3 linked regions of the Macaca fascicularis genome follow. The protein of the gene in region 3 interacts with the protein of the main gene of each other region in a pairwise test. Links are inferred from orthologs where the notes say so. Each region holds a gene or a part of one and is shown on either strand. Other genes may lie near its edges.

Region 1 (5,639 bases), on a different chromosome or scaffold from region 3:
TCTCCACATAACTTTTGTTCTAATCTATTTTTTTCTTGTTTCTTGAATTCACTATAGTTTCTCACTCCCACACCTACATCAGATCCTTGTCCAGCCAGAACATTCTTTCAATTATTCCCACTATGCCTATCCTTTGACCTCACAGGACACTCTAATCCCTTGACTTCTCCCTCTCTATCTCTACCCTTCTGCCCACCCAACCCCAATCTTGACTTTCTTATCCATTCAGTTAAGACTTCACAATCATCGCTTCAACCACTTTCCTACCAATATCTTCAACTGTACCCTCCTATTCTATAGCAGCTGCCTAGCTAAAGACTAACACAGAATTGATCCAACTCCATAATTCATGTAGTAAGTATTTATTCAAAGTGCTTGGCATCTTCCCAGGAGCTGGATATATAATCAAAAAACAATAGGTAATCCAAGTTCAGAGAGTTAACAAGTAAAAGAATCAGGACTAGAACTCAAATCTGTCTGCCTCCAGATCCCCAACTCTCCAGTCCTTTCTCCAATGGATTTCAAATTTTATCTAATTTCATTAAAATGTGACCACACCATTTCCCACTCTTTTAAACAGATGATGTCATCACCACCCTCTCAACTTCCAGGCATTATGCCTACAAACATAAAAGCTTCTATACACATTCACTCTTCCTCCCCTCATCCATTCTTCCTCCTCTCCTAACACAAAGGAAAAGGGTATTCCTCCTTTCAAAGGCTGATCCATTTGCATTACATTCCTACCTTCTCAGAAGTCTCTATGTATTTTGTTCCTCAACAATATATTCATATTTTAGCCCTCAGCTTTGTCAAAAATTACTTCTATAACACCCTTTGGTAATTATTCCTCAAATGCCCACCCACCCTCCACCTCAGTTACTAGTAATCTTTCTGTATAATTCCCAAGACTGTAAGCTCCATTCAGCAGTTAACTGCTTTTTATTTTGTTCACAACCGTATGCTCAATCCTTAGTACAATATATATATAGCACATAATAGGCATGTAGAACATATACTGAATAAACAAATAACCATGATTACAATCATCCTTATCATTTTTCCAGCCAATAATAATTTTAAAATTTGAAAACAATTCAAAATAAAATTAATGACAATTACATCCTAGGGAACACAAAAAGACATACCTCCAGTTCATTTTCCAGTTTCATTACTTTAGTTTTTAATTGATTTTCTATTAAAAAAAAAAAAAAGACAAATGTTTTAATTGATTAGTTACCACAGAACAAACTTTTACATAAATTTTAATAACAAAATTAATTCTTTTAAAAGAGTCCATCATGATTATAAGGTAACAAAAAGTATTATACGGCAGATCCATAAAACAGGAGTCTAGAAATATGTATTATTAAATAAATGTTATATATTAAAAATAAATTGAATATATACAGTTTATAGAATTTAATTTTCTACAGCTTAATGAACAAATGGAACTCATTATTTAATAACATAATAAACTTTTTCCAAGGTGCTTACCAAATTTTGCTTGTTCTTCTCCAGCTTTTTCTACTTCCTCCAAAGCCAGCTCTACTTCTTGAGCTTTCATCTAAACATTTAAAAAAAGTTTATTTCAATATGCCTTTAAACTGGAATGTAAGCACTGAAAATAAAAATTTTGTTTTATTAAGCTCATTAGTGCCAGCAATGGCTGGCACATGGAGACTTTCAGTAAATATTTGTTGAATAAATAAATAATTTTTTCTCTCCTTTTTTTTCGCTTTTGAAATAGGGCCTCACTTTGTCACCCAGGCTGGAGTGCAGTGGCACAATCTCAGCTTACTGCAACCTCTGCCTCCTGGGCTCAAGCAATCTTCCCATCTCAGTCTCCTGAGTAGCTGGGACTACAGGTGCATGCCATTATGCTCGGCGTGCCATCATGCTCGGCATGCCATCATGCTTGGTGTGCCATCATGCTCAGCAAATTTTTTCGTAGAGGCAAGGTCTCACTATATTATCCAGGCTGGTCTCCAACTCCCAGCCTCAGGCAATCCTCCTGCCTTGGCCTCCCAAAGTGCTGGGATTATAGACGTGAGCCACCATGCCAGGCAATTTTCTTACTTAAGACGACAATTTCTAGATTTTTAATAGCATGAAACATTTTTGATTCTCCCTTTTACCTCAAGTCCTCAAGTCTTATATCCAGTAAAGCAACATATCTCTTTGTAATGTTTTTCCACTACTTTTTTTCTGTTCCAATTGCTATTATTCTAATGCATAATTTCAGGTTTAAACTCCTCTATAATGTGATGTTTGCAAAGCTCCGATTTCCTTCAGTTTGTCCTATATAATAGACTCAGTTTTGCCTTCCTAAGGCCTATTTTTGTACCTATCAACTGTGGTTCGAAAACCTTCATTGCCTTCTCAATTGCTGACAGCATAAAATACACCTTTAATGACCTCAAGAACCTATCTCAAAGTACCTACCCAAGATTTGTTTTCTCTACAGCCTGCTACAAACTTGCTGCACCGCATTTCCTCAAATGTAAAGAATAAACATATTTCCTATCCTCAATATTTATTTATGGTAACCAACAGCTCTAGAATTCCCTTACTATCTTACCACTGCATTACCTTCCACTTACCTAAAACTACTCCTCAGTATTCATCCTCTGTGAAGTCTTCTGACACCTCTTGGATCACTTCCCCTCTTAACAAATCCCTATAGCAGTCATTGTCTGCATTTGTCATTTGGACCTCAGGATATATTTCCTTATGTTATTTTTCAACATACTCATTCTATTTCCCCTACATACCCTTTTAGAAACTTTAAGTAGAAACTAGCAATGTTTTACACACTAAAATACTTAATCTACATTTAAATATATTGCACTTTTGAGGGGTGATGTAGATATTACCAAGTATTTTCACAAAGATTACTTTATATAAGAACAGATTTTTATAGTTCCTCTAATAGCCAAACCTATCGTTAAAACCTACTACATACAAACCTTCATTAGTGACTGAGTAATTCTGAAAAGGTGTATCACATTTTCTTGCTTTTCACTTTTTAGCTCATTTACTTCCACCTAAGTAAACAGAAAAGCAACTGTTTTATATTTTATAACCTTTAAGCAAAATATAAGAACTCTTCCAGATTGTGACAATTAATAGTTGTTTCTGGAAAAAAAATTCATATTTTATTAATAATCATAAGTTAATGTATATATCTATTATTATTGACCAAGTAAGCACCTTGGATAAGGAAATCAATAAATTATCTGCCAGTTCTTCTTGACGGGGCAGGTCATCTGGGTCAACTTTCATTATTTCTTTCCAGTTTATATTAGGTGGCATCTTGAATTCTTTCACTGTGCTCCACCTCTGTAACAAAACAGGTGGATATTAGCATTTTCAAGGTACACAGCATTATTGGTTTTCTAATAGCCTACATTTTTTGCAGATTATTTCATTATAACTTTCTTATGTTAGCAAAGAACTATGCCTTAGCCACAAAACAGACAAGTGGGCAAAATAGCCTTGATCAAAAATAGCAGTCGGCACAAACTGTCAGAGAGTGTACCGGCTAAATAAAATGTGACGGCTTCCTTGCTAACACTAATCTAAGTTAGGACTAAGATTTCTGGGTCCCTTCCTCCACACCGCCTACCCACAACGCGCGCGAACACCCTAATCTTGGCAAGCGCGAGGGTCTGTGGAAGGCTGACAATGATCCTTGATTTGGAGAAGCAGAATTGGGGCTGGAAAAAAAAAAGCAGAAATTAACAATTGGAATGAGTGAAGTTGTGCGGCGGAAACCGGAACCGAAGTAAGGCAGGATTACGGACCCGAGGCTGGAAGGGACGGGGTAGCTGCGCTGCGGCACACGGGCCCTGAGGCTAAAGAACCTGAGCGTGGAGTGACTCGCTGATCCTGCTTACAGGGATCCACCCACCTACACCAAGCCTGGCAACCAGCGGAGGTCCCTCACTACCACAACCACCAAGCTGGACAGATCCCTATCGCGGTTCCACGCGGACTCTGGGTCCAGCCAAATGGTCCCCAAGGAAGCCAAAGCGGCAGCGGCTGCTAAGCGACACCATCCCTAACTCCGCCGGGGCCAGAAGAAGATCCCGGATGCAAAGAGAGCCTACAATTCACGACCGTGGGTGATGCTTTACGTTTAGATTCTCCGCCGGAGTCCCAGGACTCGGTGTTCAGGATGATGAGAAGGCGTGGAACGAGGACTCCAAATCCCAGAGTGCAGATGTGCCTGAGGTTTGTGCATGCTGGGAACTGAAGTCCCTGAGAAGAGGAGGTAAGGCGCTCCCGGCGTGCAACGCGGAAGGCTGCGACGGTACCGGGGCGGCGGGGAAGGACCGAGAGGCGGGAGGCGCAGTGGCTGAGGCGCGTACGAGCTGGTGGCCTGAACGAGGTAGACCATGACTGTGGCTTTAGTGGCGTCACTCGCTGGGCCGCTCTTCATGAGGTTTTCCTAAGCCATCCCCTGGCGGAACCGCTTCCAGGTGAGGTCGAGCTGTGGGTCAGCGTATTAGGAGGAGTTGAGGGCAGCAGTCTGGGTTAGAGAAGCTTCTGCTATTGGGGCCGTAGGGCCTGGCCCCATTCTGAAAAAGTGGAAACACCCTGCCTTCTCTTCAGGCGTTTGTAGGCGGCGTCCAGGGTAGTGCCTTCTGTAAGAAGGAAAAAACAAAAAGTTTTAGCCTTGTTTAGTATCAGAATCTGTCTTGGTAGAGTGAGAGCCGCGCAGCCGTGATCCTCGTTTGGGGGCGAGCGAAGAATTGACAAGAGGTCTCGGCATCCTCTGACCCCGCCAGCCTTACCTGTAGCACCATTCCCTTCGCAGATGGTGGGACTTGATGGTTGTGGAGCTAGTATAAAGGGAAGGCTCTAGAGAGGAGAGGTTAGTGCTTGTCCGGGCCACTGCCGGGGGTGGAGAGAGAAGGTACCCGAGGACTCACCTGTACTATTGTCACTTGCTTGGTTACCTAGGGTGTCCTTCCATGAAAGCGCCGTCTCTGGTGTTTACCACGCTTACTTGTGCAAGTTTTGCTCATCTGCTCATAGCCATACTGGAGTGCGATACACCTCTAACTAACTTTCCTAAGAAGCTGTAGATTTAAATCTAAATGACATTTCCAACTATCTGTACCAGTGCTTCTCATCTTTCTTTTTTTTTTTTTTTTAACGCTGCTTTAAAAAAAAATTTACTATACTTGATGGTAAATTTTCCTTTCGAAAATAAGTAATGAATTTCTTTTTAAACTCCCAATTTGGGTAAAATAAATAGCTCAGTACAAAATAAAAATATACTGGTTTTGTGAGATAAATTTTAAAGACATTAGTTAGATTTATAGGAATGACAATTTTACTACTTTTCTGAAAGATTTTATGCCAAATACTATTCATTATCTTGTTTATTCTTCCTTACAATCCAGCGAAATAGGTGCTTACGTTGTCCTCATTTTCCATCTAAGTTAAGAAACTGAGGTTTGGAGAAGCTAAGTACTCTAACTTAAATAGTGTGATTGAACACAGATCTCTCTGGCTGGAGGACGTATTCTTAACTTCTATACACCTCCTCAGACATTCTGGGAAACCAGTATTTGTGAAGTGCTTGTGCCTCAATCTTGCTGTTTTTATTAAATGTTATATTTTAATTT
Region 2 (5,274 bases), on a different chromosome or scaffold from region 3:
AGAATATGGATGGAGCTGGGGGCCGTTATCCTTAGCAAACTAATGAAGGAACAGAAAACCAAATACCACATATTCTCACAAGTGTGAGTTAAATGATGAGAACTCATGAACACAAAGAAGGGAACAACAGACACTGGGGTCTACTTGAGGGAGGGGGGTGGGAGGAGAGAGAGGAGCAGAAAAGATAACTATTGGGTACTGGGCTTAATACCTGGGTGATGAAATAATCTGTACAACAAATCGCAGTGACACGACTTCCCCTATGCAATACATCTTCACACGTACCCCCGAACCAAAAATAAGTTTTTAAAAAATTGGGAGAAGGAAGAACTCGGCAGAGGAGGGCTAGTTTGCAGGTAATTCCCCTGAAGGACTGCCTGGCCCCTCCCTGGCTTTCCACAACATTTTGTGTTCTTTAAAACATTTTCCCCCGGCCAGGCGCTGTGATACTAGCTCACGCCTGTAATCCTAGCACCTTGGGAGGCCGAGGCGGGCGGATTGCCTGAGCTCAGGAGTTCGAGACCAGCCTGGGAAACATGGTGAAACCACTTCTCTACTGAAAAAAAAAAAAAAAAAAAAATTAGCCGGGCATGGCGGCGTGCACCTGTCGTCCCAGCTACTCGTGAGGCTGAGGCAGGAGAATTGCTTGAACCCAGGAGGCGGACGTTGCTGTGAGCCGAGATCTCACCACTGCACTCCAACCTGGCGACAGAGTGAGACTCCTTTACACACACACACAAAAATTTCCCTCAAATAAGTTGAGATAGGGGGGAGGTGTATTGTTACAATGCAAATCCTTTCGCATTAAATCCTTTAATAGCTCTCAGTGTGGCCTGCAGAATAAAACCCCAAATCCTTAACATGTCCCAGTTTGGTATTTTCCTACGCTTGGTCTACCTGGGCCACCCCCTTCCAGGTTCTTTAAGGGCGGAGCCTAGCTCTTTTCTGCCATGTGGCCTTACAGACTGGTTCCCGGGACACGAACTGGGTACTTCTCCCTACCCAAGCTTTCGTTCTTTATTCCTGGCCACCCCCTCCCCCGCTTCCATTTCTCTGCTCTCCTGTTCATTCCTTTAGAGCGATTACTTTCTGTGAGTAGACATCCATTCGCGTGCATTCAGATCTATTATCCAAAAGACAGAGGCTCATCCGTCTAGGCAGTCAGGCTCCAAGAGAGGAGCCCAGTCGGTCTGACTCCCGGAAACTCCGTGCACTGGGTCAGCCACATAGTAGGCGTCTACTGGAGACTTTGTTTAGGTCAGGGAGTCAACGCAGGCAGCAGCTGAATCAGGAGAGAGTCCCCAACGCAGACAAAGGGGCTCCTGAGACCCTTCGGGGCGCTGAGGCCCAGGTTTCGTCTCCCTCTGCTGCAGCAATGCCGTCGACTCAAAGGCGCTCAGGGCTGGGGGACTGGTTCTGGCAAACAGCACAACCTCGCCCGAATACTGGTCCGCAGTAACTCGATCTTTCCCTTAGGCGGCGCTTCGGGTCGCAGGCGCCCAGTTCAGGGCGAGGCATCACGGGATTTGTAGTCTCCGTGGGCATATACCCACCGCGCTTGCGCACCGGTGAGGCGCGCACCGCCCCTCTCCACGCCCCTATCAGGATTCGGGTCCTCGTAAGGAGCAGTCCAGGCGACAGCGTTCCAACCTAATACGCCTCTCTCGCCCGCCGGGGACAAGCCGGGCTGGAGAAAGAATCCGATCTTCGGAAGCTGGCGCCGTGCCTTGGAAGGCGGCCGGAATCCGCACACACCCGCCCCGGAAGTGAGCGGCTCCTGGCGCGGGGCATTGTGGGGGGCGTAGTCTCTTTCTCAGGCGGTCCTTCGCGGCGTCCCCGGGGCCGACTCCCGAGCGCAGGCGGGCAGCCAGGCGGGCGGCGCGGCGCGGGCCGGCAGGAAGCGTATTCTGGGCACGGGGCGCCGGGCGGGCCGGCTGCGCCGAGCGGCAGTGGTGGGATACCACCCAAGGCCTCGCGCGGCGCCGCCCGTCGAGGGGCGGGCGGCGGCGGAGCCACTGGGCCGTCGAAGGGCGCAGGAGGCCGGTGGGCCGGGCCGGGCCGCGCGGCGCAGCCATGCCTGGCTTTACGTGCTGCGTGCCAGGCTGCTACAACAACTCGCACCGGGACAAGGCGCTGCACTTCTACACGTTTCCAAAGGACGCTGAGTTGCGGCGCCTCTGGCTCAAGAACGTGTCGCGTGCCGGCGTCAGTGGGTGCTTCTCCACCTTCCAGCCCACCACAGGCCACCGTCTCTGCAGCGTTCACTTCCAGGGCGGCCGCAAGACCTACACGGTACGCGTCCCCACCATCTTCCCGCTGCGCGGCGTCAATGAGCGCAAAGTAGCGCGCAGACCCGCTGGGGCCGCGGCCGCCCGCCGCAGGCAGCAGCAGCAGCAGCAGCAGCAGCAACAACAACAGCAGCAGCAGCAGCAGCAGCAGCAACAGCAGCAGCCGTCACCCTCTGCCTCCACTGCCCAGACTTCCCAGCTGCAGCCGAACCTGGTGTCTGCTTCCGCGGCCGTGCTTCTTACCCTTCAGGCCGCTGTAGACAGCAGTCAGGCTCCGGGATCCGTGCCGCCGACGCCCATCACTCCCACTGGAGAAGACGTGAAGCCCATCGATCTTACAGTGCAAGTTGAGTTTGCAGCCACAGAGGGCGCAGCCGCTGCGGCCGCCGCGTCGGAGTTACAGGCTGCTACCGCAGGGCTGGAGGCTGCCGAGTGCCCTATGGGCCCCCAGTTGGTGGTGGTAGGAGAAGAGGGTTTCCCTGATACTGGCTCCGACCATTCGTACTCCTTGTCGTCAGGCACCACGGAGGAGGAGCTCCTGCGCAAGCTGAATGAGCAGCGGGACATCCTGGCGCTGATGGAAGTGAAGATGAAAGAGATGAAAGGCAGCATTCGCCATCTGCGTCTCACCGAGGCCAAGCTTCGCGAAGAACTGCGCGAGAAGGATCGGCTGCTTGCCATGGCTGTCATCCGCAAGAAGCACGGAATGTGAACTGGTGCCCCGGCGGCCTGCTGGACTCCCAGACCCCATCCAGCCAGGGGACTGCAGGCCATTGTTGAACTCCTCTATACTCCTGGGGCACTGGTTGACAGTACTGAGGCTTAAGGCAGCTGGACTCTCTTGCTGGTGACCTGGCATCCTCAACTGTTTCCTCCTGAAGTGGAAGCTGGGGCCTTAGACTCTGCCCTGGTGACACCAGCAATTATGACTTTGTCTACCCTTCTTCCCCAGTTATTGTTGCAGATTCTGGTTAAGCAGAGGCTTCAGAACCACTGAACTTGAAACTTACCCTCTAGGGATGCAGGTGATATGTCCAGGGACTATGAGTTTGGAATAAACCATACCTTAAGGTTGGTCAGCAGTCAGACAACTCTAATGTGTGTAGTGATAAGAGATGCAAGTAACATCAGCTCTCCTTTTCATGCTTTTCCTTCCCAGGTGCAGCCTGTGATTCTGATGGGGACTGGTAAATCTGTGCCTCTGCCTCCTAGGATTTATTTTCCCAGGAGACCATTTACAAGGGGATCTGGATGACCTGCTGATGGAGATCCAGCTTGCCAGGGATTTAGGTTTATCCTGTTTTGTTTGCTACTGGTTACAAATTCTATTTTCTGTACAATTAGTCAGACTAAAGTTTTCACTGTGTTTGTTTGGCAAAACAAATTAAACAAAAAGTAAGGTTTTTATTTGGGTCTCGCCATTTTATTTTTACAAAAACATAGTTAAATGTCCTTGAAACATGGGGAAATAGGCCTCAGCCTATTTGAAAGACCAGGCTGACCCTGAAAGTAGAGATGCTTCAGTGACCAGGTTTTTCCAAAAATGGACCCTAAGCACATGGATCCTGGCCTTACAAGGTCCTCACAGAGTTCCTGGCCCAGCTCACCCTAAAGAGTTTGGAAACTGCACCAAATGGGCCCAGTTTGTCCGTGGGTTATCTCCCTGTATCCTTTCAACAAGGACCAACTGCTTACTAAACTATATTGTGATAGTTCGCCTCTGAGGGTTTTGAATTCTCAGCTGGGATTGAATTTTGCTCACCATGACATCCCTTAGGCTTAGCACAGCCTCTGGTATGCATGTGCATGCAGTTACTCTACGAACCAGTAAGACCACAGCTGGAGCTAGCCAAAGCTGCTTCAGGCACAAGGACTCTTGTATAGATACCTTGGCCTTGGTACACCTTTGGTGTGACAGATCTGTATCCACAGGGGGCATTAAGAAGTTGGGAGGTGTGATCCCTTGACTCATTTTCTTGGCTGCCTCTATTTTTTTTTCCTTTTTTTTTTTTTTTTGAGATGGAGCTTTGCTCATGTTGCCCAGGCTGGAGTGCAATGGTATGATCTCAGCTCACTGCAACCTCTGCCTCCTGGGTTCACGCGCTCCTGCCTCACCCTCCCGAGTAGCTGGGATTACAGGCGCCGGCCACCACATCTGGCTGATTTTTGTATTTTCAGTAGAGACGGATTTCACCATGTTGGCCAGGCTGGTCTCGAACTCCTGACCTCAGGTGATCCGCCTGCCTCTGCCTCCCAAAGTGCTGAGATCACAGGTGTGAGCCACCTGCCCAGCTTCTATCTTTTCTTAAATTGGATATCGAAGGGGCAAGGATGACATTGTTTTTGTCTGTAGCTCCAAGTAATTTAGCTCAAAGCCAGTGTCTCAAAGTGAATGCCTTTAAAGCTATGGGTTTACTGTGGGTGGTGGGGTACAAATAGAGACTTTCAGACCCCATAAAATATGACTCCCTTCTGTTACTTATGGACAAAGCCATCTGCCTGGGGACTTGCCTGTGGCAACATGCTGGAATGGTCCTAAAACTCAAGTCTCTATTTCCCTTCTAGTCCCTTAGCACTGAGTTGGGAAAGAAGTCTGGTGGGAAATAAGGGGTGAGACATAGGTTGTGTGGGTGCCTGGTTGGGGGATGGACTGGAACTCTGCCTTCCTAGGGTTAGATCTGGCTGGTAATCAGGTGGTGGAAGCACAGCAGTGCCCTTTGTTGCTCCTATTGGGCCAGTCTCTCATCTTCCCAGTTTCCTTCCTTGGAGCGAGGCCTTTTCCAGGCTGTAGCCATGCTCTTCAGTGCATCCTTGAGCTCCTGTTTATTGAAGGGACTTCTACTGTTTCTGCCTTGGCTCCCTTGAGGCTCTCAGCAGTACTCCCTGGACCCTCTCTGGTGTTCGGAGGTTATGGGCAGTGTTTTGGCTTCTTAGGGAGAAGAAGACAGTTCACAGAGCAATGGAGATCCCAGATGCAGATGTACAA
Region 3 (5,770 bases):
AGAGTGGGGAGTGCCCAGGAGTTGGGTGGGCAGGCATGTGGGTGGGTTGCAGGCCCCACTCTTGGCCCCAGGAGGGGATGCCAGGCAGTGGGGGCTGGCCCAGGTAGGCCAAGGGGAGGCCCAGGCAGGAAGGGTGGTCCAGGTAGGCAGACCCACCAGGGGACCCTGAAGACCAGCCCTTGAGAAGGTGTCTAAGCCAGGAGGTGAGTACCCAGGCCAGAGCCTAGCCCAGGGAGGCAGGGTTGGGTCCCGGTTGGGGGCTCTCGGAGCCTAGGGGCTGGCATCACTGGGGGCCTCCCCGAGCTGCTGCTGGAACTCCAGGCGTGTCTGCCGGTTGGACTCCAGCAGCTCCTGGAGGCGGGCGTGGAGGTGGTCGTTCTTCTCCTCCAGGTGGTCCAGACAGGAGTTGATCTGGTCCAGCATGGAGTTGATGGCAGCGTATTCTGGGAGGAAGGCGAAAGACAGAGCCCAGATCCTATGTCTCCTTGGGGCTAATGGCCACCCTCCCTCCACCGTTTCCCAGCCTGCTTCCCAAAGGGCTTTGTGCAAGTCCCTACTCCTTCCTGAGCCTCAGTGTCACCGTCTGGAAAATGGGTGGATACCAAAAGAGGAATGGCTTTGAATGAATGACACCTGAGTACTGCATCCTTTTTTCTAGGGTTAGGGTGGTCACAGGGTGGCAAGCCAGTGTCCTACATGGGAAGTCCGGCCAGGTGCCAAGTCTCTGCACTTTCTGCAGCAGCTGCTTAGTGGCCAGAGCCCACATTCCTGAGTTGGGCATTCAAGGCCCCTGTCCCCAGATGGGCCCTGTTTGCCAGCCCTTCTGTGGCTCCCTCAGGGTAAAACACCCAGCGGAGTCTCCCAGCCCCTGCCTCCTAGCTAGCCCTGCCTCCCTGCCTCTTCCTTTCCTCTCTCACACCTGCCTTTACCTACCTCAGGCCCTTTGAACATGCTGCTGTCTCTGCCTGGAATGTGCTGGGTCCTCCCATCTTCCTTCCCTCCTCTCCTCCTGGATGAGTCCCACTCATCCTTCAAGTCTCAGTATGGATGTCACCACCGGGAGCCCACCCAATGCCCCAGACTGGATCAGGCCTCTATGCTGAGCCCCTAGCCCTCCTCAGCCCTCCACGACCCTCTCCAGGATTGACTGCTGTGCTTATCTGAGTGCTGTTCTGTTTCCCCATGAAAGCTGAATGGTCCTGTGTTCGCTGCTGGCTCCCTGGCACCCTCACAGTTTTGCAATAAGCATTTGTTGAATGACTGAGTGAGTGAATGAATGAAGCCTCTGACTTTCCAGCCTCTCCGCCATTGCTCAACTATCCCTGCAACCTAGAATGCCTCAACCACAACAGCCCATCAAGGACCAGCTCAAAATGCCTCCTCCAAGAAGTCTTCCCTGATCTCCACTAGAAACCATCACTCCCTCCCCTCCACGGCCACTCCAGAGCTGCCTTGCTCAGCAACACAGTGTCCCTGAGGACTCAAGGTCTGGGCCTGTGCCCACTGCGGGACCCAGTTCTGAGCCAGCCCATGACTCAGATACACTCAGCTGCCAGCTTGAGACCAAGAGGGAAGCAGCCAGTGGAGGAGCTGGAGGAGCCTATCTGGGTTATGGGTGCACTTGTGCCTGTGTTCTGGGAAAGGGCACCCATTCCCAGCCACCCTCACAGAGGACAGAGTCCTGGGAAATTGGCTGCATCTTAAAGTCCAACCCCCTCGTGGTATATAGCTAGGGAAACCAAGGCCTCCAAAGGAACCTGCCCAGGATCCTCCAGGTTGGTAACAGAGTTGAAACTCAGGATTGGACTTGGAGGTCAGGGGCACTTGGGTTTGAATTCCAGCTCTGCTTTACCCCAGCAAGTTGTTGCACCTTTCTGGAAAAAAGGGAAAACTGGGTGGTCGTGAGGATTCAAACATATCAAGAGTTCAGACAGTGGCCAGCGTGGTGGCTCACGCCTGTAATCCCAGCATTTTGGGAAGCCAAGGCGGGTGGATTACCTGAGGTCAGGAGTTCGAGACCAGCCTGGCCAACATGGTGAAACACTGTCTCTACTAAAAATATATAAAAATCCTGTAATCCCAGCACTTTGGGAGGCCAAAACGGGCAGATCACGAGGTCAAGAGATCGAGACCATCCTGGCTAACACGGTGAAACCCCGTCTCTACTAAAAAATACAAAAAGCTAGCCAGGCAAGGTGGCGGGTGCCTGTAGTCCCAGCTACTCGGGAGGCTGAGGCAGGAGAGTGGCGTAAACCCAGGAGGCAGAGCTTGCAGTGAGCTGAGATCCGGCCACTGCATTCCAGCCTGGGCGACAGAGCGAGACTCCGTCTCAAAAAAAAAAAAAAAAAAAAATAGCCAGGCGTGGTGGTCACTTATAGTCCCAGCTACTTGGGAGGCTGAGACATGAAAATCGCTTGAACCCAGAAGGCAGAGGTTGCAGTGAGCCAGGATCATGCACTGTACTCCAGCCTGGGCAACAGAACAAGACTCCAACTCAAAAAAAAAGAGTTCAGACAGGATCTGGCCACAGCAAGTACTTAGTGGATATCATTATTATCAATATTTTGAATTCTGTGTCCTGGGATACAGGCTGGGAGGAGGAATTGGGGAGGCAGGTGCCCCACACCCCTCCAGGCCAGGCTTTATCTGTGTCAAGGGTACTTCCCAGTTCCAAGCCTTTGCTTCTGCCTGGGACACCACTGTCCTTAGTCCTGTCTGCCAGCATCCACTCAATGTGACCTCCTGGGAAGCTCTTCCTGATGCTCCCAACAGCATTGCCCAATGCAAACCTACCTAAAACTATTGTGGTGATGGATGCACAGCCCTGGGAATACACAAAAGCCCACTGAACTGTACAGTTTAAATGGGTAAGTTGTATAGCTCAATAAAGCTGTTACCCCAAACAAAACAAAGAGCATGCGCCATACTTACACCACATTTACTAAATCCTCAGTGTATGTTAACATGCCAATCTTTACCAAAGAGAATAATGACAATAACCATTTACTGAACTCTTGCATGCTAGAACCTGCTAAGCATTTCCCATTTATTTTTTGCATTTAATGCTGACACATCCCGGTGCAGGAGACACTAATCATTATTCCTATTTTATAGAGGGGGAAACTGAGGCTGAAGAATGTGAGAAGGGAGCTGATGGTTCTCTCTCCACACCCCACCCCTGCACTTGTAAGCACGCAAAAGGCTGCTCTGTAAGCTGCTGACATTTGGCAAGGCTGCGAGGCTACACCAGCAAAGCCAAGTGGCTGGGGATGCTGACTCGGCAGAGCGACGCCCCCGCGCCCCCCCAACCCCACGCCCCAGCCCGGCCTCTCCGCTAAGCCAAGCCGGCCAAGCTCAACCCTGCCTCAGGTGCCTCGGTCTCCCCCCAGGACTGAAGGAAGTGGTGGAGCAAGGCCCACAAGGGCGAGTGTCCCCGAAGCTGCCTCAATTTCCCCATCTGTAAAAGGGGACTGGTGACCCGCAGCTCTCACGGAGCTGGCGACCGGCTCGCGGGTGCTCGCCCTGCATCCGAGACAGCACCTACAACTCCGGACCCACTCGGGGCGGAATGGGGTGGGTTCTTTGTTCCCTTCCAAGACCCCATCCCGATTCCCCTTCCCGGGAGGGCAGCCCTGAAAAAGCAAGGTTGCTCCAGCAGCCCCCTCGGGTCACCTGCTTCCCCGAAGCCATCCTCCTCGCCTTCCGCTCCCGCCTCCACCGGCATCCCCAGGTCCCCGTTGGGGCCCGACATTGCGGGCTCGGGCGCCCGAAGGGCCGCGCGACGATGGAACGCGGCGACCGTCGCGCCGAAAGCCGGCGCCGGATGGAAGGTGGAGGCGGTGGATAGAACACCGGGCCGGAAGGGTGGAACGCGGCAGCAGATCTCCGCCCAGAGGCCGGGGCCCCACCCCTGAAGCCGGAATCCCGCAGATCTCGCTCCGCCCCGCCCCGCCCCCCAGCCGGAACTCCGCCCCCGCCCCGCGTCCAGACTCCGCCCCCACCGCCGGAGTCTCACCTCCACCTGCCTCACAGTCGAACTCCGCCCATTCCGCCGCTGGCTTCACCCGTCTCCTGGGCGCTGGGCGGGGCCACCACGGTGCTGTCCCTGGAAAAGCCCAGGAGTAGGGAGGTCCAGGAGGAGGGGCGGGAGACCTCCCAAGCCCATCTGCTGCTTCGACCCCTCCGCCTGGGCGAAATCGAAAACGGGTTTCCTTGTTATTTTTTGAGATAGGGTCTGGCTCTGTCTTCCAGGCTGGAATGCAGTGGGGTGATCTCGGCTCACTGCAACCTCTGCCTCCCAGCCTGAAGCGATCCTGCCACCTCAGCCTCCAGAGTGGCTGGACTACAGGCGGGTGCACCACGCTGGCTATTGTATTTTTTGGAGACGGGGGTTTCGCCATGTTGCCCAGGCTGCTCTCGAACTCCTGAGCTCGAGCCATCCACCCGCCTCGGCCTCCCAAAATGCTGGGGTTACCGGCATGAGCTACTGGGCCCAGCCTTGGAAACGGGGTTTCCATACCTCCTGTGGCTTCAGGACATTCCTCTTCACAGCCTCGCTGAGAGTCACGAAGGGTCTCCTTCCTCCTCGCCTCTCTGCCTGCACCCCAATGGGGAGGACCCAACACCCCTACCCCTGATCTGGGCCTTCCTGGTCTCCAGCGCTTCTTTTTTTTTTTTTTTTTTTTTTTTGAGACGGAGTCTCGCTCTGTCGCCCAGGCTGGAGTACAGTGGCCGGATCTCAGCTCACTGCAAGCTCCGCCTCCCAGGTTCACGCCATTCTCCTGCCTCAGCCTCCCGAGTAGCTGGGACTACAGGCGCCCGCCACCTCGCCCGGCTAATTTTTTTGTATTTTTTAGTAGAGACGGGGTTTCACTGTGCTAGCCAGGATGGTCTCGATCTCCTGACCTCGTGATCCGCCCGTCTCGGCCTCCCAAAGTGCTGGGATTACAGGCGTGAGCCACCGCGCCCAGCCAGCCAGCGCTTCTCTTAGGGCTCATTGGTTACAACCTGTGGGTGGGGATCAGGCTGGACTCCAGCTCTGGACAAGAGAAACAGGAACATTAGGCGGGATGGCTCCCACCTGTAATCCCAGCGCTTTGGGAGGCTGAGATGAGAGGATTGCTTGAGCCTAGGAGTTGGAGACCAGCCTGGGAAACATAGTGAGACTCAGTCCCCCATCTCTACAGAAAGTACAAAAAAAATTAGCCAGACCTGGTGGCATGCACCTTAGTCGCAGCTGCTTGGGAGGCTAAGGCAGGAGGATCACTTGGGCCCAGGAGTTCGAGGCTGCAGTGAGCTATGACTGCACCACTGCACTATAGCCTGGGTGACAGAGTGAGACTCTGTCTTTAAAAATAATAATTAATTAATTTTTAAAAAGTTTAATTAGCCAGGTTTGGTGGCACACCCCTATAGTTGCAGCTACTCAGGAGGCTGAGGCAGGAGAATCACTTGAACTGGGAGGCAGAAGTTGCAGTGACCAGAGATCGTGCCCTTGCACTCCAGCCTGGGTGACAGGGTGATACTTCATCTCAAAAAATAAAAATAAAAAAAATTAAATGTGAGGCCGGGTGCAGTGGCTCATGCCTGTAATCTCAGCACTTTGGGAGGCTGAGGCAGGCGGATCACGAGGTCAGGAGTTTGAGACCAGCCTGACCAACATGGCGAAACCCCATTTCTACTAAAAATACAAAAATAAACCAGGTGTGGTGGCGTGCGCCTGTAATCCCAGCTACTCAGGAGGCTGAGGCAGGAGAATCACTTGAACCCG

What was found.
Region 1: the proteins of BBLN (region 3) and CEP290 interact in binary tests that used the Homo sapiens proteins (3 or more experiments, as listed by UniProt). The two-hybrid records come from large-scale screens. The link is inferred for Macaca fascicularis from reciprocal best matches to the Homo sapiens genes BBLN and CEP290.
Region 2: the proteins of BBLN (region 3) and THAP11 interact in a two-hybrid assay, tested with the Homo sapiens proteins (2 studies listed by BioGRID and IntAct). The link is inferred for Macaca fascicularis from reciprocal best matches to the Homo sapiens genes BBLN and THAP11.

The regions. Positions count from the first base shown.
Region 1 is NC_088385.1:95,075,037-95,080,675, forward strand, and holds the start of CEP290 (centrosomal protein of 290 kDa), read right to left. Parts: upstream 3,880-5,639; 5' UTR 3,629-3,879; intron 3,343-3,628; 5' UTR 3,316-3,342; coding exon 3,214-3,315; intron 3,048-3,213; coding exon 2,970-3,047; intron 1,568-2,969; coding exon 1,498-1,567; intron 1,196-1,497; coding exon 1,149-1,195; intron 1-1,148. Other genes in the region: protein O-mannosyl-transferase TMTC3, read left to right, coding at 4,245-4,276. UniProt on the Homo sapiens protein: Involved in early and late steps in cilia formation. Its association with CCP110 is required for inhibition of primary cilia formation by CCP110.
Region 2 is NC_088394.1:63,892,948-63,898,221, forward strand, and holds THAP11 (THAP domain-containing protein 11), read left to right. Parts: upstream 1-1,838; 5' UTR 1,839-2,073; coding exon 2,074-3,000; 3' UTR 3,001-3,359; intron 3,360-3,447; 3' UTR 3,448-3,695; downstream 3,696-5,274. UniProt on the Homo sapiens protein: Transcription factor, which has both transcriptional activation and repression activities. Also modulates chromatin accessibility.
Region 3 is NC_088389.1:15,824,692-15,830,461, forward strand, and holds the start of BBLN (bublin coiled-coil protein), read right to left. Parts: upstream 3,846-5,770; 5' UTR 3,752-3,845; coding exon 3,673-3,751; intron 2,913-3,672; exon of another isoform or gene 948-2,912; coding exon of another isoform or gene 939-947; intron 444-938; coding exon 271-443; 3' UTR 1-270. UniProt on the Homo sapiens protein: Essential for intermediate filament organization in intestinal cells, interacts with intermediate filament and regulates intestinal lumen morphology.